Caenorhabditis elegans: one gene and its partners. The protein of the gene in region 2 purifies or fractionates together with the protein of the main gene of each other region. This does not show direct contact. Each region holds a gene or a part of one and is shown on either strand. Other genes may lie near its edges.

The links. The genes of interacting proteins can lie anywhere in the genome.
Region 1: the proteins of sti-1 (region 2) and srh-56 fractionate together in Caenorhabditis elegans (co-fractionation; one large-scale study listed by BioGRID). This does not show direct contact.
Region 3: the proteins of sti-1 (region 2) and clec-137 fractionate together in Caenorhabditis elegans (co-fractionation; one large-scale study listed by BioGRID). This does not show direct contact.

What each region holds. Positions count from the first base shown.
Region 1 is NC_003283.11:2,767,946-2,775,038, forward strand, and holds srh-56 (Serpentine Receptor, class H), read left to right. Parts: upstream 1-3,914; coding exon 3,915-4,260; intron 4,261-4,321; coding exon 4,322-4,512; intron 4,513-4,835; coding exon 4,836-5,066; intron 5,067-5,244; coding exon 5,245-5,323; intron 5,324-5,386; coding exon 5,387-5,574; downstream 5,575-7,093. Other genes in the region: dhs-15 (DeHydrogenases, Short chain), read right to left, coding at 474-845, 986-1,079, 1,126-1,226, 1,271-1,503, 1,772-1,808; srj-18 (Serpentine Receptor, class J), read left to right, coding at 6,397-6,585, 6,631-6,690, 6,973-7,093.
Region 2 is NC_003283.11:770,519-777,285, forward strand, and holds sti-1 (Stress-induced-phosphoprotein 1), read left to right. Parts: upstream 1-2,999; 5' UTR 3,000-3,072; coding exon 3,073-3,084; intron 3,085-3,138; coding exon 3,139-3,265; intron 3,266-3,319; coding exon 3,320-3,802; intron 3,803-3,856; coding exon 3,857-4,197; 3' UTR 4,198-4,257; downstream 4,258-6,767. Other genes in the region: str-238 (Seven TM Receptor), read left to right, coding at 1,319-1,456, 1,501-1,955, 2,000-2,067; srbc-58 (Serpentine Receptor, class BC (Class B-like)), read left to right, coding at 4,477-4,651, 5,583-5,938, 6,315-6,416, 6,512-6,754. UniProt on the Caenorhabditis elegans protein: Plays a role in gonad development. Up-regulates longevity and thermotolerance. Binds daf-21/hsp90 and inhibits its ATPase activity.
Region 3 is NC_003280.10:4,615,633-4,621,861, reverse strand, and holds clec-137 (C-type LECtin), read left to right. Parts: upstream 1-3,771; coding exon 3,772-3,939; intron 3,940-3,991; coding exon 3,992-4,103; intron 4,104-4,158; coding exon 4,159-4,417; intron 4,418-4,468; coding exon 4,469-4,643; 3' UTR 4,644-4,710; downstream 4,711-6,229. Other genes in the region: clec-139 (C-type lectin domain-containing protein), read left to right, coding at 121-276, 397-508, 1,178-1,296, 1,342-1,448, 1,493-1,573, 1,625-1,700; clec-138 (C-type LECtin), read left to right, coding at 2,062-2,196, 2,245-2,356, 2,446-2,701, 2,760-2,934; clec-136 (C-type lectin domain-containing protein), read left to right, coding at 5,329-5,457, 5,512-5,623, 5,681-5,939, 5,996-6,185.

The sequences.
Region 1 (7,093 bases), 2.0 Mb from region 2:
TTCCGTCTTAAAAAATCCCTCTGAACATTTCCGGCAAATCTGACAAATCAGCAAATCGGCAAACCAGTAATTTGCCGGAATTAAAAATTTCTAGCAAATCGGCAAACCGGCACTTTGTCAATTTGCCGAATTCGCCGAACGACATTAGGCGCTCAGCCCCCCCCCCCCCCCTCAGAGGAATATTAATATTTTCCAGAAAAAAAATGTGTTGGCGCGAAATTCAAATTTTAACAGAATACAGTTTGGTAGAAAATTCAAATTGTCCGAAAACAATTTTGCAAGAAAAACATTAAATATTTAAAAAAAGAACTAGAACTTTCTATACGATTTCGGACACATCCATATTTTAAATTTTCTGCCAAAATACTTTTCTCTGAAAAAAAGCGCCTTTCCTTATGCGACGCACCATTCTGAATTAAGGTAGTCTGTATTTATTCCCAAATCAAAAAAAAAAGGAAAATATGAACAAAAATTTAAGCCAAAGCTTTCGACAAATCATGACTTGGCATTCCCAAAACCAAAGTGGTCCCTCCATCAATCACAATGGATTGTCCAATGATATAAGCACTCGATTTCCGATCAGCCAAAAACGCGATAAGTGATGCGATTTCTTCAGGTTTTCCAGTACGGCCAGCCGGAATACAATCTCGGTGAGTGGAGTAGTACTCCTCCGTCTTTTTCACCACATCATCTCCCATACCTACAGCGCCCAGGAAGTTGGTTGATATGAGTCCAGGGCTCACGGAGTTGACACGAACATCGAAGGGAATCAGCTCCAAGGCTAAGCTCCTGGTGAGCTGGTCCAGGCCGGCCTTGCAGATTCCGTAGTAAGTGTAGTAGATGTACTGAAAAAATGATGTTACTGTAAGTTGTAGAGGAGTTGTTTCAGACGACTGTATCGAATTTTTAGATAAAATATCGTGTTGCCTGTTATTAGCCCTCTGCCGCCCGTTTTTTGGCCCGCTTTTGGCCCGCTTTTACTCACCGGTTGTGGACCAGCAGCAATTGAAGAAACATTAACGATTTCCCCTTTGCTAGCGATTAAGTGCGGACGACACTTTTTGACAAGCTCCACAACACTAAAATAAGTTACAATTAAAAAAATCCCCTGTAAATAAAATATACCTTCTCAAGTTCAACTTCATCATATCATCAAAAATGCCAATCGCCGCCTCGGAGCCAATTTTTCCAGATGGGTCAGCAAACGCCGCTCCAGCATTGTTAATCTGAATGGAACAGTCAAAAATTTTAAAAAGTCGAGAAATCTCACCAAAATATCGATTTTACCAAATCTGCTCAAAGTGCTCTTGATGAGCTCATCTTGACATTCGCTCTCATTCAAGTCGCCGAGAACAATGTTGATGTTGTCACTGGAGCCACCGTTTTTATGAATCTCATTCACAGTTTCCTGGATTTTTTCCGAGCTTCTTCCGGTTACCGTAACCTTAGCTCCCTCCTGAGCAAGGAGGACTGCCGTGGAGCGACCAATTCCGGAAGATGAGCCTGAACGTTATACTTTGAGAGACTTTATCTCCAAATTGGTCTGCCAAAACATAAAAAAAAGAGATTTTCAAAAGCTTAACTCAACTACAGTAATCCTACAGTAATCCTACAGTAACCCTAAAGTACCATTACAGTATTTCAACGCTACTCTAGTTAAACTTAATAAATTCCAAACAAATATGTTCCCCCAATTGAACAGACTATTTTACAAAATGACTGAAGGTACTGGATGAAAAATTTCACTACATTTTCTAAAAAAAACCCTTACCTGTAATTATTGCAACTTTATCAGAGAATCTACCCATTTTTGACAAGTACTAGATTTTGGTCACTAAAAGTGAATCTCAAAAATTTATATACTGCCGCGCACGCCCGCAATGTAATTTGTTCGTTCAAGTGTTGAAAATGGGAGGATCGCCAGACTGTGAGGTCGCGTGCCGATTAGGGTATCTCTCGATAAACAAATTAATACAGATTAAACTTTTTTTCGGTTTTGTGAGAGATGAACTTTGACCATGTAGACAAATGCTAGTTTTTGAGTTTTTTTTTCGGTTAAACTAAAATATCTAAGGCTCAATGTCCTCGCAGATTTTTGGACTCAAACTATGAGTTGCAAGATTTAATTAGCGGCTATAAAGTTTTGTGCTAAATTGTGTGCAAATGTTATTTTAGTGGAATTCGATTTATGACTCGCAAACACCAAATGGAAGGTAAATCTAAAAAATGTAAATTCTTTCATTTTGGCGCCAGAAAACTTTCGTACAAAAAATGTAGGAACACTGCAGAAAAATAATTTTTTATCCAGACAGTGGTTTTCTTAAAAAAAAACTTCGTACCTATAATTAAATTCTGATACCTCAAAAATTGAAAAATCGACCACACAACAGCTTCAGGACCCCTGAGGTTTTCAAAAACTTTACAAAAATTTACCATACTTTTAAAATAAGTATCAGATTGTTTAAATATTCAAATAACATTTAATTATGTAATTTGATGAAGAAGAAGTTTTTCTCTGAAAGATTCCTGGTCACGAAACATTTACAATTAACCATAAATCAAAAATTCAAGTCAGAAAAGTACTTGAACACGACCTTCTGGAGAAACGATTTCTGAGAAATAAGGAAATTGGGAAACTTGTGTACCCCGATTGATCAAATTAGCAGGTTTGTGGAAATGTATTACATCAACGATCAAATGTTTATCGGCGTGAAACAACTACCGCGCGGCTCATTTTATTGAACTTTTTGGCGAGTTCAGTCACATTTTGAAAGCTTTTACTTCTGAGTTTCATAAGTATGTAGTTTTTTGGAATATAACTAAATCTATTGGTTTCCAAAAAAATCTACTTAGATTTGGTAGAAAGTTCAATTTTTCTAGATTTGTTAGGTCGTCACTAAGTTTGCAAAAATAGCATAAATTTATGACATTTTCGAAGTTTGTTTGCATTTTTCTCGCTTCGGCAGCTAAGAAGCCACAGACAAAACACAGCAGGATACCTGATTTCTACTGCGGTGTAGTAGATTTCTGGTCAAATTAGAAGTCGAACAAATTATGAGGATCTACTTTTTTCAAACAACTATTCGAACTGAATCCGCTGAGTTTCTTCTAGCAATTCCTACAATTGTTTTTTTTGACATGTACCCCAAACCTTTGATTTTCAATTTTGACTTCATCTTCAGCACCGACTACTCTTAGTCCTTTCTTAGCCCGATAATTTGGATCAAACGTTACTTTTAGGTGGATAAGAAGCTCAATTTTTTTGAATAGGCCCTTGTTTGAATAGAATTAAAACCAAGTTTTTGTCCAATTGATAAATTTCCAGCTGTTGAACCTAGGATTCTGAAATGTTGAAATAAAAAGGTTTCTGTAAAAATTGAAGAACTAATTGTAAAGATTTTTCTGGTAAAGCCTCTATTCCGGACAAAAAATCAGGAAAGATGTGGGGTCCCATTTACTTTCCAATTAACCCGGGAAATGTCCGCTGCAAGACATCAGTTTTTTACACTTTTTTGCCGTATTGTTTTGCATCGCCAACCTAGATGATCATTTGATCTGTCACAAAACACATTTCCCTTTTTAAATGTCCCTAATCACTAACACAGCATTTAGCATTACATCGAAACTCCAAGTCAGAGCCTCCTAGAAAAATAAATTTCCGAGAAAAAAAAATTGAAAACTCCGCACCTCAAATTATCAAATTAGCAGGATTACGGTGGTATTACATCAACGATCAAGAATTTTTCGGCGCGTCCAACTCTACCGCGCGGATCATTTTACATGCAAATGGGGCTTTGAACTTTTAGGCTCTGGTTTTCTGGCTTTTTAAGGAATTTTTCTTGTAACGCTTAGCTTGTGAACACTTTCGGAATTCCTATCGAAACCTATTATATTAAACATCTTCCAGGAAACCAATGGCATGGCCAGACAACAACACCTCAAACTGCCGGGAAACCTACTCCTATTTTGGCTCGGCAGACTATCTGCGCAATGCATATCATTTCACAGCACTTTTAACAGTTCCTCTATCCATATTCACATTTTACACAGTTATAACAAAGACGCCAAAGCGGATGAAAAATATGAAAATCCCACTTTTAATATCCCTGGCTTGGAGCACAAATCTCGATTTGATGTTCACAGTGTACTCGGGGCCGTATATATTTTTTCCGAGTGCCTCCGGAGTACCCCTTGGGCTTCTAGGATATTTGGGAGTAGGTGTCAAGTGGCAGTCGTATTGGGGACAGGTTTCCGTCACTAGTAAGTTTTAGGATCTTTTAGGAAATTTAAATATAAATTTCAAATACCACATGTTTTTCAGTGATGGGTGTCTGTTTTATAATGCTCTATGAAAATCAACATAGTCAAATTTCCACGATTCGATTCAAAATCAAACGGAGAAAAACTCGTTTAACATATTTCGCATTAAACTATTTATTCACATTTGTTGTTATGCTTCCATTTTATCTAGACGACACTGACCAATTGAAAATGAGACAGAAGGTCTTGGAGGTTAGTAAAATGTACTAAAATGCCCATTCAGAGATATTAGAAATGTTCAAAAAATTTTATAAAATTTTATATTTAAAGTCAAAAATGTGAAAACTCTCAGTTTTCACATATCCTAATTTTGGAAGTCGACCAAAAGATTTTTTTTGAATTAATTGCGTTCTTATTAATAATATTGAAACATTCTAGGAGTTCAGATCTGCGGGAATTTTCAATTTTTTTCAAAAATGTCAATTTTTGAATAACTAAAAACTTTTGAAGTGTTTATTATATTTTTCGGTCGTGTGTATTTAACACCCGTCTTCAAATTCAACTTAATTTTACAGAGAATCCCCTGTCCGACGAGCGAATTCTGGGACCCAAAAACCTATGTACTGCTGCAGGGCGGAGAGGTCTTGCCATTCTGGTCAATCACAATTGGTTTTGGATTTGTTATTTTCCAAACTTTTTTCTTTTTGTTACACACCGTTTATCACCTCACACTAGTATCAAGTGCCAAAATATCGGCGGCGACGAAGAATCTTCAGCGAAAGTTTCTGAAGAATGTTTCTATTCAGGTGAGTATAACTATAACTGAAAATTAACTGGAATAGCCAAATGAAACTGCAAAAAAATGCAAAAAAAATTTAAATGGGTTTGTTTCAATTTTAAAAATTTAAAAATGTTTTTGACAAATTGAAAAACCACAAAATTTTTAAAATTTTAAACATTTAATTCTAGCATGTGTTTTTTTAGATCTCAATTCCATGGATTGCCATTGCATTTCCTGTGGCCTACACTATGTATGCAGACAAAATGAATTACTATAATCAAGGTGAGAAAGTGCAAATTATTTAAAAAAGCCAAAACATGGCTAACACGTTCCAAACTTTTGCAGCCTACAACAACAACGCTATGCTAATTATGGCAAATCACGGACTTCTATGCACCTGTTGCACCCTTTTTATTTACAAACCATACAGAGATTTCACTAAAAGTCTGATCCCTGGACAACGATTTTCACAACGGAGAATGACTATCATCGTGGAACCTGTGACGTCTCCACATGGAAGTGTGTCTAATTAGTTTTTTTTAAATTTTCGTTTTATTTGCCAAGCAAGATTTTTTTACAAATATTTAGTAAATATGTTTTTTTTGGACAAAACTTGACTATTTTCACTCGGGAAACAGATGCGCATCTTGCTAGTGAGAGCCATTTTGGCAATTTTGGCATATTCATCAATTTTGAAAAATTTTGGCAATTTCACGAATTTCAGCAATTTTGACAATTTATCCATATCGGCAAAGTTGTCAATTTTGGTAATTTCGATAACTCTAGGATTTCTGACAATTTTTTTCAATGTTCGCAAATTCAAACTTTTTGGCAGTTTTAAAATATTTGGGCAATTTGGACAAACTTAGAACTTTCACCAATTTCAGCAGTATCATGAATTTTGGCAATTTCGGAAGTTTTTTAACATTTTGGGCAGTCTTGGCAATTTAAGATTTTTGAAAATTTTCGGCATTTTTGAAAATTATGGCAATTCAGGTAACATTGCCGATTTCAGTAATTTCAACAATTTCGAAAAATTGTCAAAAATCGAAAAAAAAAATTTTCAAGTATCGAAGCGTGTGAAAAGTTTCTAGAGATTTCACTGACCTGCTACTTACTCACGCTTCACTGGAAATTTTCCGTGCTTGAGCTATGTCCTTGTTACATCATGTCATCGTGGGAACTAATAAGGTGTCTGTGAAAACTTGCCAAAAAATGAGACAACCTAGTATGTATAATGAGATTAATGTTAGGTACATTCTCTTTTGTTAGGCACGTATCAACACATTCTTCTCAGAACCAAAATTTTGTCATTTGACATATAAGCTGCTTTCGGTGAATATTCTACGCACTCCATGTTTATCAACTGGGCTCACTTTATCATTCCCAAAATAACGTTTATCTTGTCTTTCATAGCCAATCCTGTATTCGTATATCTGATACGTACGGAAAAAGTGATTCAATTCGGTGATTATCGCTATCTTTTATACTTTTTTGCAATTTTTAATCTTACTGCATCAGTTGTGGATATTTTGATACCAGCCGTAAGTTTTTCAATTTTTTAAATCCAAACTTTTCAATTTTTTCAGTGTGTTTATAGCTATCGTTATGCGGCTGTATTCTTCATTGTAGATAGTGTTTTTTCAGAGGTAATATCTTGAATGATAGAGATTCAAATTGCGAGTTCAAACAATATTATATTTACATAAATTGTTATCCGAATAATTAAAATCTACAACAAGTAATTAAAAAAAAAACTAAAACATTTCGACCGGTTTTGTTGAAAAAGGTTACAGTTTTTTTCAACAAAAAACAAACATTTCCAAAAAAAATTTGTATTGTGTGATTAATCTTTTTGAAGCACAACTACGAGCCTTTAAAATAGTTAAAATTGAATTGAGTTTTTTCGAATACTTTTTTCCTTTTTTCAGCGTTCCAACTTTGCCCCTACCTTAATATCCTTGCGATGTGCGTTTATTGCTGGAACCTATGGAATCCTCAACATTCATTTCATTTTTCGCTATAATGTCCTGAAAAATACAAGTTTTGTTA
Region 2 (6,767 bases):
AACATTTCAGCTGATTCCGAGAGAGCAACAAGGATCCTTCACGACAAGCAAAAAGACGGAGCCTCTTACTTTCTTCCCAGGAGACTTGACAAATTGGCCAGCCGGTTAGTTTATGATTTACATGGGCGAGCCACATAAAAATCGTTTTCAGCTCTTCTCGCTGCGGCAATCAAGTTGGACAACGACCAGGTGGACGTTACTCGCCTTCCAAGTGTGGTCAATATGCTGTTCAAGCATCATATCAAAGTCAGATTGTAGGTTTCTTGTTATTTACTTTAAAAAGCCAGCGAATAGAATTTTTCTTTAACTTGAAAAACTATGTTTTCACAAATGTCTTTTTGCAGCGATCATGCCCGTGGTTTGTATCGAACAAAACACGACGGCCAGAATCCACCAAAAATTGTGCTGCCAAAGCGTCCCATCATCGATTGCACACAATTCTACAAGAGCAGCGAGGATATCGATGAGGAGCAAGTTCCATCAACTTCGAACTTTCAATCATCTTCGAACTCTCTATCAACTTCGAAATCTGCTGGAAGGGAAAATATCCCAGACTCCCCATAAATTCACTAGTTCTCCTGTTTTCTGATACTTTCGAAACTTGTTTTTTTGTTTTTTTTTCCATTTTTCGTTAAATGTTTTTTTTCTGTTGTTTTTTCATTTTGTTTCATTTTCATAATAAATCGTGTTATTTTTTATGGTTTTATAAAAGTTTAATCCAATATGAAAGCAAAACTAGCTAGCAAGAAAGCATAACTACGTAGCAAAACATCACCGCTAATCAGCGGAAAAGCACAATTACTGCGGTTGACTAAGCCGTGACATAAATGCTAATTAGCAGTGATTTTCTATCGCTCTGCCGTGACTCCAGTCTATCTGAGGGGTACTGTAGGGGTACTGTAAGGGTACTGTAGTTTAGGAAAAATTGACTTTTCGTGTTTAGGAAGAATATTGGCTTGGGGTTAGACTGTCGCAGTACTGTAGAGGTAGTGTAGGATTACTGTAGTCTTGGAATATCTGACTTTTCGTTTTTTGAGAGGATATTGGTTTGGATTTAGTGGGGTTAGATGGTCGCAGTACTGTAAGGGTACTGTAGGATTACTATAGTTTAGAAAAAATTCACTGAAGTTTAAAGGAAAAGTCGTGGTGAGACCTATCATGGCTAAAGCCATTCGTTTTGGCGGGAATTCAAATTTTCTGACTATGAGAAAAAATTTTGGCAAGAAATTCAATTTCTGAGAAAATAAAACTTTCTAGAAAAATTTTGAAAATTGTGGAATTAATATAATAAAAATTTTAAAACGTTAACCTTTTTCAGCCATTCATTTCTTAAAACAAAATCACTCCGAAAAACGTTGATCTGGCTCTTGATTCCTGTTATCTACGGTTTCCTCTGGGCAGTCAATTTATATTGTACACTATGGGTCAACACGGATACTGAACAGATATTACAGGGGTGAGTAAAATGAAATGCTTGTTGTACTCTGTTGAACTTCTCAGGAATGGGTATTTACGCGAGAATAAGTTAAACATATCCGACGTAACATATATTGGGCCCAACTATTGGAAACTTGATGAAAATAGAAATGAAGTTATAAATTGGAGAACAATGTTGGGAATGTCTATTGCATCGACACTGATCTCGATTTCCTTCGCAATGATTGTCATTTTTGCAACTTTAAGCTACAAAGAGGTCTCCAAGCTAACCGAGCTGACTTCCCACTCCGAAAAATTCCGTTCAATTCAACTGCAACTTTTAAATTCTTTGGTGTTGCAATCACTTGTCCCGGCGTTTTTCATACAGTTGCCATCGTTCGTCCTATTTCTGGCGCCTTTTTTTCATTGTGGAAGGCCAGTGTTTGGCGAGATAATTGGTGTGACGGTTGCTCTATACCCAGTCTTGGACTCACTTCCAACAATTTTAGTGATCAAGGCTTTCCGTGAAGCAATATTTCGTGAGTAAAAGTTGCCAGCCAAATAAGTTGAGTGTATTTTCCAGATTGTTGCCCATTCACTAATAAAAATGCTACACTTCCCACATCCGTAGCACTGGTTACTATTCAATAATAATACATTCAATTTAAATGATAGAAAATGGACTGTATAACTTAATCGAAACTTGTTTTTACACTTTGCAAGAATCTGATTATTTTAAAATTTTTGTAGATCACAACGATATGGGACATTATGACACCACGAGAGAAATGTCTGAAAATTTACACACATCAAAGTATATACAATAAATCGGTCATTACGGCTCATTTTCTATCTTTTAAAGTAAACATTTTGCGTCAAGAATACGGTAGCCGGTCTCGACACGACAAGCCTTTGTCAAATGAGAAAAGGTGTGCGCCTTTAAAGAGTACTGTAATTTCGAGCTTTTGTTGGTACGGAACTTTTATCGATTTTTTTTTAGAATTTACGTGTTTTTATTTGTTTTATTCAAGTCTTTTTATTAAATAATAACAGTTGAGACGAAAATATGAAAACTCGATGAAAATTCCACAACAACAAGAGTTTGACGCTACAGTAATCTTTAAAGGAGCACACCCGATTACATTAAACAAAAATAGTCGCGTCCAGACCTGGTACCATATTTTTGACCAAAAATATTCATTATTCCGCGAATTAATGATAACAAAAGTCAGAATTTTGTTTAGTTTCGGGAAAATTCGGAGCAAAATTCAGAAAAATTCAAAATTTGACTCGATGCTCGTTATTTTCCGGAGTATCTGTATTTTTATCGTGAAATCCAGTTCACATTGGGTATTCCGGGCGCCTTTACTTTTCTTTTTTAAATTTCCTAATCAATTTCTATATTTTTATGTATAAAAATCGATCTAAAACGAAACGGGTATTATTTAAAATTCAAGCGTCTCCCGCCAAGCGATTATTTTCTCTGCGTCTCTCTCCTTCGCACACTCTCTGCCTCGCTCGCTCAATAGAGCGCGTTTGCCATTGGCAAATTTTCTCGAAGAATTCCTCATTTTCTCGATTCATTTCCTTCTTTTCATCGTTTCTGCTCACTTTTATCTCATTTTTTTTTCAGATTTTTTCAATATTTCGGCAAAAATGACGGACGCCGTAAGTTTTTCAACAATTAATCAATAAAATTCAACTAAAATTCCCTATTTTCAGGCGATTGCTGAAAAAGATCTCGGAAATGCTGCCTACAAGCAAAAGGACTTTGAAAAAGCTCATGTTCACTACGACAAAGCGATCGAGCTTGATCCTAGTAATATTACCTTCTACAACAACAAAGCCGGTAGGTTTTTATTTAAAAAAAACTGTAGATTTTCCCTAATTTTCCGAATTTCAGCCGTCTATTTCGAGGAGAAAAAATTCGCGGAATGTGTGCAATTCTGCGAGAAAGCCGTCGAAGTTGGACGCGAGACCCGTGCCGATTACAAGCTTATCGCCAAGGCCATGTCTCGTGCCGGAAACGCTTTCCAGAAGCAGAATGACTTGAGTTTAGCCGTCCAATGGTTCCACCGCTCGCTCTCCGAGTTCAGAGACCCCGAGCTTGTCAAGAAAGTCAAGGAGCTCGAGAAGCAGTTGAAGGCGGCCGAGCGTCTTGCCTATATCAATCCAGAGCTTGCCCAGGAGGAGAAGAACAAGGGAAACGAGTATTTCAAGAAGGGCGACTATCCGACAGCGATGAGGCACTACAACGAAGCGGTGAAGCGTGATCCGGAGAACGCGATTTTGTACTCAAACCGGGCCGCGTGTCTGACGAAATTGATGGAATTCCAGAGAGCTCTTGATGATTGTGACACTTGTATTCGGCTGGACTCGAAATTTAGTACGATTTTCTAATTTTTTTGCTCAGAATTAACTAAAAATTGTATTATTTCAGTCAAGGGATACATCCGCAAAGCCGCTTGCCTCGTCGCAATGCGTGAGTGGTCGAAGGCTCAGCGAGCCTACGAAGATGCTCTCCAAGTCGACCCATCCAACGAAGAAGCCCGTGAAGGTGTGCGTAACTGTCTGCGAAGCAACGACGAGGATCCCGAGAAGGCCAAGGAGAGAAGTCTCGCCGATCCAGAAGTTCAGGAGATTCTCCGCGACCCAGGAATGCGTATGATTCTCGAGCAGATGAGCAACGACCCGGGAGCCGTGCGAGAGCACTTGAAGAATCCGGAGATCTTTCAGAAACTCATGAAGCTCCGCGACGCTGGAGTCATTCAGATGCGCTAATTATTTGATTGCTCCCGGTTTTTCACCCATTATTTGATTTTTATTTGAATTTTTCTCCCCCCCCCCCCCCCCATGGTCTGTGTTTTTTGCATCTCGCTCGTCCTCTGGACTCGTCTTCAAAATATAAAAATATATTTATCGTCGTCGCAACTAAAAGACAAACAAAATCTCATTAATTTCAGACATTTTTTTGTACTTCGCACTACAAAATTGTTCATTCGACTGGAAGCTGAACCAAAAAATTCGTCGAAAACAAAAAAGTCACAACTTCCTTCCCTTATGTCTTCTTTGGTGACGTCGGTAGCGATTTCAGCGATTTTTTTCACCGAAATCAACGTTTTTCTGAATTTCTACCTGCTTTCTCAAATATTTATACGAAAGAAAATCCAGAAAAAGCCAGAATTATCACTGATTTATTGCCGTTTTCTAATCGACGTGATTTATTCTTTCGATAGTGAGTTATTTTTAAGCGGAATCTAGGAAATTTCTCCAAATTTGCCCGATTCTGCTCGAAATCGCGAGTTTCTTTCCCCAAAACCATTTTCAAACGCGCGCCAGGGACATTCTCATTGGAGCGCGCCGCGTGTGTCGATTTACGAGAGTTCGCATTTTTCTCGAGTTTTTTGCGGAAAAAATCGAAATTTCAATGTTTGAAGCGAGAAAAAGTGATGAAAAAAAAGGAAATTCATTGAAAAAATCGGAAATCTGAAAAATAAAATTTTCTTATAACCTGAAACATGGTAAAATCTTAATGTAAGTGTTCAAATTATCAGTCATACGTAAAAAACGGAAAAATTATCGGCAATTTGCCGGTTTGTCGGAAATTTCGAATCCGGCAATTTGCCGATTTACCCGAAATTTCGATTCCGGCAATTTGCCGGTTTGCCGGAAAATTCAATTTTAGCAATCTGCCGATTTGCCGGAAATTTTCAATTCCGGCAATTTGCCGGTTTGCCGGAAATTTAAATTTCGCCAATTTGCCGATTTGCCGGAAATTTCAATTTCGGCAATTTGCCGATTTGCCGGAAATCTTCAATTCCGGCAATGTTCACGTCACATATTTCTGGCGAAAAAGTTCCCGCATTTATTGTAGATCACACCGAAATGGGACAGCCTGGCACCGGGATTCCCAGTCAGGGGTTGGCGGCAAACAACTTTTCCGGCAAACCGGCGAATTGCCGGAATTGAAAATTTCCGGTAAATCGGCCAATTGCTGGAATCGAATTTTCCGGTAAATCGGCCAATTGCCGGAATTGAAGATTTCCGGCAAACCGGCAAATTTCCGAAATTGAAGATTTCCGGCAAATCGGCAAACCGGCAAACTGCCGGAGTTGAAATTTCCGGCAAATTGGCAACAAACAAGAATTAAAAAAAAACAATTTCAGCATCAATATTTTTGATTTATTCCCTGATAAAAACGCTTTTTCCCGAGTTTTCTGTGAAAAACCTGGCATATTTCGTCGCTTGGCCCGGCTTCAACTTGGGAACTATTCGCTGCTGGATTGTATTTTTTATAACATCCGATAGAATTTTCGCAACATGCGCTCCGATTTCATATCACAATCATCGATTCAAAATTCCGCTCGCCGTGATTATCATCCTCATCTCCGCGTACACAATTCTCGAGCAATATATTTTATTCGGATATTGCGATTTTGTTCTAGACGTTCCCGCCGATTGTGCCATTTTCCGGTGTGCAATTAATATTTGCTATCACGAGTATTGGAAAACTTTTTCGCAGGTTTCAATTTGCAGTGGTGGTGCCGCACAGAAAAAGAGGCGGACACGTGGTGTCAGGCTGTCTCATTGCGGTTTGATCTACAAAAAATGCGGGAATTTTTTTCCTAGAAAAATTGTGACGTCAGCACGTTCTTAACCATACGAAATCAGTTGAGAACACTACGTATCATTCTCCCGCATTTTTTGTAGATCAAAGCGAAATGGGACTTTCTGTTTAGACGTGGGCGGAGCGGCGTTTTGCAAACTTTTTGGAGAAAACTAGAATTTGTTGCTTTTCAGGGAAAATCATATTTTCTTGCCGCAGGTTTGCAAAACGACGCTCCGCCTCTTTTTCTGTGCGGCACTGCAAAATCAGCAGCTTGATCGTTTCGTTTTAGACGATGTATTTTTGCATTGGAACGTTGACATTTATTTTATTTTTTCGACTTTTCATATGGAATCATTTTATACTACGTTCCACTAATACAGCTATTTCAAGAGTGAGTTGCACGGTCTCGACACGATAAAAAATTTTTGAAATAAAGAAATTTGTCGTGTCGAGACCGATAAAAAATTTTGAAATTATTCAATTTAGGCCACAAAAATCACGCTTCTCGACTCCTTCATCATATTTTCATTTGATCTATTCCCGGTTTTTCTCACAGCCCGATTCCCGGACATCAATTCTCGAACTGTCGGGCCGTTGAGTGCTTTATTGAAGCACATGGGCTTTGTCATTGAGTCACTGATTATCTGCAAAGTTTTGAGGAATAGCAAGCAAGTTGTGCCGGCTTCGATGAGCAGAACGACACCGAATAATGCACCGGTTATGACATAATTTGGTTTTTTTT
Region 3 (6,229 bases), on a different chromosome or scaffold from region 2:
AGACAGTGTCTACTTTCCTTCCTTCAGATGGCCCGTCTCAAGATGATGTGAAGACTAAAAGTCAACCTCCCCTATATAGATCAAATTGTCTTCACTCGACATCTTTATTTCTCGACGACGATGAGAAGTGTTTTTCTGATTCTTATTGTTGCCTTATGCGGCGTTGTTGAAGCATCTAATGCAACAGAGAAAGAAGTTGTATGTCCGAAAGGATTCAAGTTGTATGAGAGGAAGCCGACGCAGAGGAATAAGTTCACGAAGAACTGGTGTATGAAGGTGGATTAAAGGAAATAATTTTTCAAAAGTTTAGTGGTTTATCGCGATCCCAAATTTCTGCCCGCTACTGAATTTAGAAATGAGACAAACTTAATTTTCAAATTAATTTTAATTTTTCAGGTAATAGAAAACGAGGATGTCTATGATCGACCTATCGCAAGATCAGTTTGCCTAGATTATGACGCAGTTATTACGAATGTCGAGAACCAAGAGGAGCTGGATGATATCAATGGTAAGTAGCTGCTCAATAAATAAGAGTATTGTTAATTAGAAAAATTATATGTAAAGTCCAACGGAACAATTTCCAGTTGACTAATATTTGCCTACAAGGTGACAGGCGCCTGCCTTTTGCATGCCCACTTACCTACTTTTCAATTGGCAGTTTAAATCTAATAGAAGGGTTTCGGTTGTGACGAAAATTTTTTTGTAGACATGCTGTTTTTCTACGTGGAATTTTTTCTAAATTTTACTGAAACTAAATACTTCAAATGACAAAAAAAGAAGACAGTAAGTAGGCCTGTAGGCAGACAAGTAGAATAGGGCCTACCCGCCCTTCTCGTCTCTTATTAAAAATACGATCGGCGTGATGCCATTTTACAAATTCTCGCAAGCTGAACAAACACCTGGAGGCAGCGATTAGCATTCGTACTATTTTGGAAAGCGAATTTTCTGGTTTTTTGAAAAATTTGGAAAATGTGAAAAAATAGAGCCGGCGGCTAAAACTTTTCTGAAAGTTATGTATTTACTAACATGCTTAAAGCCAATCACTGTTATCATTTATCAAACAAATTATGTAAATGCAACGTCATTGTTATTGAATGTAAATGCTAAAAGGCACAACAAAGCCGACAGAAACTGACAAACAACTTTTAGGCAAGTTAAAACTGAACACAAATTTCAGCTTTAATTCGAAAAAACAATAAACGAGTCGCAGTGGACGGAGTGTTCAATCCAAAATGCCGAGGTTTCAGCGACTGGCGAATGAGAAAGTTTGGAGGACTTTGCGCAAAAGAAAAAGAGGTTTTTGTTTCGAAAAGTGTGTTTCAAGTATCCCGATCGTTTTAGCTATTTATTCTGGAGGACGATCACACCGATCCAGCGTTCATTCTCACAAAGTGGTCTGGAGAACCGCCAACTTCATCAGACAAGTATCAGGAGAAGGGGGACTCTACGTAAGGAACCCAGTGGGATAAAAGCTTCATGTTCTAGTTTTCAGAGAAATTTTCACAATCGCTGAATGTCTATCTCTACATAATCTCCAGGCAATCAAGAATACTGGAAATTTGAAGGATTTTTTGTGAGTTTTTTTTTTGCAGGATTTTCAAACCCAAAACTAAAAAAATTTCAGGTGCGGCGAAGAACCAGACAAACAAGTCGGCGAGGTGCCATTCTTCGGAGTTCTGTGTGGATGTGCTCCAGTATAAAATTATTTAACTAGTGCCAAATGTATAAACAATTTTTGAATTTTTTGAAGATTTTTCAGAGAAATCTGTCCTCGAGGCACAATATAAATTGTTCTTACAATGTATGCCTAGTTTGAAAATGTATATCATGACTCGATTTTTTTTGTGTTATAAAAAATTTTCCCTCTAGAAAAAGTTGAAAAATAGGTAGAAAAATAAAATGCGTCATTTCCGCCCAGCCCCCGAGATACCGTATCATTTTGATGTATTCGGGGAATAATGGTTCCGCAGAAACGGAATCATTGAAGGGATGTACAGCTTTTTTATAGCTTTTGACTAGTACAAAAGCATACTGAAAGCTTCTTCTTGAACTCTTCATAACATGTTAGTTTTATTCTTACTATTCTTGGTTGTTCCGGCGGTTTCTGCAAAGGATCCAAGATGCCCAAAAAACTTTACTTTTGTCAAAAGAACACTAACTTTTAAGAATAATTTTACAAAGGGGTGGTGCTTGGGGGTACGTTATTGATAGAGACAGTACCCAGTTTTAAAATACACTTTCAAGATTTTCAATGGAACGGATGTGGGAAATCGTGACCGAGCCCGCTCAGTCTGTCTCTATCATAACGCTTCGCTGAGCAATCCAGAAAATTCACATGAACTTGAGATTGTTTCTGGTAAGTTGATCATGTTTTTTTTTAAAGACATGTCTTCAATTCAAAATCGCTAGGAAAAATATGCTTCTAAATGTGTAATTAATTTTTAGACGTTATTCGCGCACGGAACATTTCCCTCCCGATTGCACTCGACGGACAACTCTCTCCAAGATGCAAGGCCCTTATTTTCAGAGGCGAACAGAGCCAACAATATTTTGACCAAAGAACAGAGGAAGGAGATTGCAATATTAACAATCATTTGTTTGTATATGATGATATCAATACAGATACTTTATTTATCCGTTCCAAACTAGGTACTTCGGCTGGAACTAATGGAGGATACTCCAGTCAGGAGGACGGAGTAAAGTAAGTGTATGAAAATTTCTAGATTCAACGTCAAACAAGTCTAGAATTCAATTTACAGATTTCGTTTCACCAGAGATTGTAACGCATTAACAGATGCATACTATTACTTTTCTAATGGAACACATTTCTATGCGGTAGATGGACGAACTGAATTGCTCGGATGCTTTGGGGAAAAGGATAAGCAAAATAAACACGAATATAGTAGTGTTCTTTGTGGAAGATTCCCTCTCTGAGTTAATTGATCAGAAAAGACAGTTGTTAATAAATATTTTGGAGTTGTTGTTCGAATTCATCACTTGTGATTATATCAGAAAATACCAATTTTGCAACAAACATCAGTCGAGGATATGCATAATTTTCATAATAAGTATTTTTTGATAGCTAAAGATTGGAGCTAATCATATTTCAAAATTTACAGAGACAGGACTATTTTAAAAGTAAACTACCCTGTAACAAATCAAGAGTTTCGAAGCTTGAAATCAAAAAAAAACTTATTCTTGTAAATCATTTTATATTCTACCTCGGAAGCCGACAAAAGCTTGGTTTTAAAAAATCTAGCTTCAAAGTCTTGTTTTCAACCACAAATGTTTGTGTACATAAATTTTTGGATAGGTATCATAACAAGCAAGAGGGCCTTATGTTAGTCATAGGCTTGCACTCAGTTGCTCAATTTTGACGGCTAATAACTAGGTTGTGTTTTGTTTTACCAAAAATTATAAGCTGACAAAGAATGTGTTACAAATTTCTCTACAGTTTTGGTGTTAAATGTTTTTGATAAAAGGGCTGAAAATGAGGGTACTTTTGTTAGAATCTTTATTAGATCAGATATTTTTTTGTTTCAAAGCGCATGGTTTCAATATTCTTGACAACTTCTATCAACCTACGTGTTATATAAGAATTTCTTTGAATGAAATCATCCAACCTGATGAAGAAATATAATGCGTCGTTTCCGCTATCCAGCCCCGAGATACAGTATCATTTTGATGTATTCGGGGAATAATGGCTCCGCAGAATCGGAAACGCTACAGGGGGCGAACAACTGTTTTATAGCTTTTGACTAGTACAAAAGCATGCTGAAAGCCTTCTATGAAGTTCAGTATAAAATGTTAGTTCTATTCCTACTATTTTTGGCAGTCCCAGAATTTTCTGCGAAGGATCCAAGATGCCCGGGAAACTTTACGTATTTCAAGAGAACACCGACGGCAAAAAATAACTTTACAAAGGGATGGTGCTTGGGGGTAAGTTGTTCATATCAATGACACCTAAATAGTTTTAAAATGATATTTCAAGATTTTCAATGAAACGGATCTGGGAAATCGCGACCGAGCCCGTTCAGTATGTATCTATTACAATGCGTCGTTGAGTATTCCAGAAAATTCACACGAACTCGAAGTGATTTCTAGTAAGTTTTTGAGGATTTTTTTATTGCTGCATGCGGAAAAATGTAAAATTTCCAGAGACTGCTAGCTTGAGAAACATTTCCGTACCAATCGCTCTTGATGGACAACTCTCTCCAAGATGCAAATTCGCAATTTACAAAGGACAAGTAAAGGGTGCAAAACGATTTAATCAAACTTCTGAAGAAGGAATTTGCAATATTAAATATGAATTGTTCATATATGATGATATTAATACGGATACTTCATTCATTCGCACAAAGCTAGGTGTTTCGGCAGGATCAAACGTAAGAAGTGTACAAGCTGATGATGATATCGAGTAAGTTTTGAAAATCGACTTTCCTATTTGCATCCAACATTTCATTTTCAGGTATCGCAGTACAGCAGATTGTACCGTTTTGGAAAAAGGATCGTATCACTATTCTAATGGAACACTAAAAGATGGGCACACTAATTTGATGGATTGTATGGGACAGCTAGCTGGCTCCAAGAGGCTACCAGAAAAAAATGTCACCGCCGTTCTTTGTGGCCGATTGCCGTTCTAAGTAAATGTATTCTATCATTTCTGGAAAGATTAATTTTCAATATTTAATAAATATTATATTTCCGAAATCTTTCTGATATTTCTTATTACCTTAGCTGATTGAAAAGATAAGGTACACCCAATTTGTTTCCGCAAGTGAACTTCAGGTTATTCTTAGGCGACGAAAATCCCTGTGCGGGTTTACAATTAAATCATTTTCGCAACGAAACATTTCCTTTTACAGAGTTTTGACAAGTGTGTATACCATTTTTGTAAACTAAAAGTCAATTAATTCATCTTAACTTTCGTCTCGAACTTTTCGTTTTTAAGTTCCATCTTGTTGATAATACGGCCTAAAAATTGTAAAAAATTTCTCAAAGCTTCCTATTTTCTGTGTCAAGAAAAATCGGAGAGCTCTACATTATCTCTTTTTTGGCTTCCGGAAAACTTTTAGAGTAAATTTATAATGTATAATTTATGATAAACCTCAAGAAAATAGGTACAACAAGCATCTGCTACGTCCAAATCAAAATGTTTAGAAGAATAAATACTACGGTAGAGCATTTTGTGGGTGTTGTTGAACATCACGCTTTTGTTGAAACGATCAAATGCTGTCGGAAAATAATGGCTCCGCATGGCTTAGTCACAATTTTATCGATTTCAATAGGTACAAAACCCCGCCGAAACTTTTCAAAACTGACAGAAAAATGTTCGTTTTCTTTTTGCTATTTTTGACTGCGGTTTTCGCAAAGGATCCACAATGCCCAGAAGGGTTTTCTCATGTCAAGAGAGTCCCAACTGCAAGGAACAATCATACAAAGGACTGGTGTTTGGGCGTAAGTTCCAAGTTTTGGGTTTTGTGTTCATAATGCTTTATGACCATATTTCAGGTTTTCCAATTCAAGAACATGGGAAACCGAGACCGAGCTCGATCATTTTGCAGTTATGTGAACGCTTCATTGACCATTCCAGAAAATGAGCACGAGATTCAAGTGTTTTCTGGTAGGGATATTTTTCAATAAAAACATTTTCAGTGTTGTAATCTTCAAAAACTTTCAGAAATCGCCCGAGCTCATGGAATTGAAGCTCCTTATGCTGTTGACGGTCAAATTTCTCCAAAATGCAACGGTCGTATTAATAAAGTCGAAATCATACTTCGTCATCGATTCAACAGTACAGAAGAAAAAGGAGATTGTAATATCAAGAATAATCTATTTTTGTTCGATGATGTCAATAGTGACACTACATTCATGCTGAGCCATTACAAACGTCGACTTCCAGCTGCTTATATGGTTCATCAAGCTGACAATGGTCCAATGTAAATTAGACATAATTATCAAATAGCGTGAAATCATAAAAAATCAAATATTACAGATTCCGATTCGCCGCTGATTGCATTGTTCTAAAATCTGGAATTGTCAAGGCTAATGGCACAGAAACAAGAAAGAATTGGGGAAGTTTGGAGTTTTGTGTGGGAAAAAATGCAGTGCAGGCTTATACAGACGATGAAAAACCATATGGAAACGACGTGGAAGCAGTTTTGTGTGGAAGACATCCACTTTAATTGTTTTGAGAAACTTATAAGAAATGTGGGTCCTAGAAATGTGA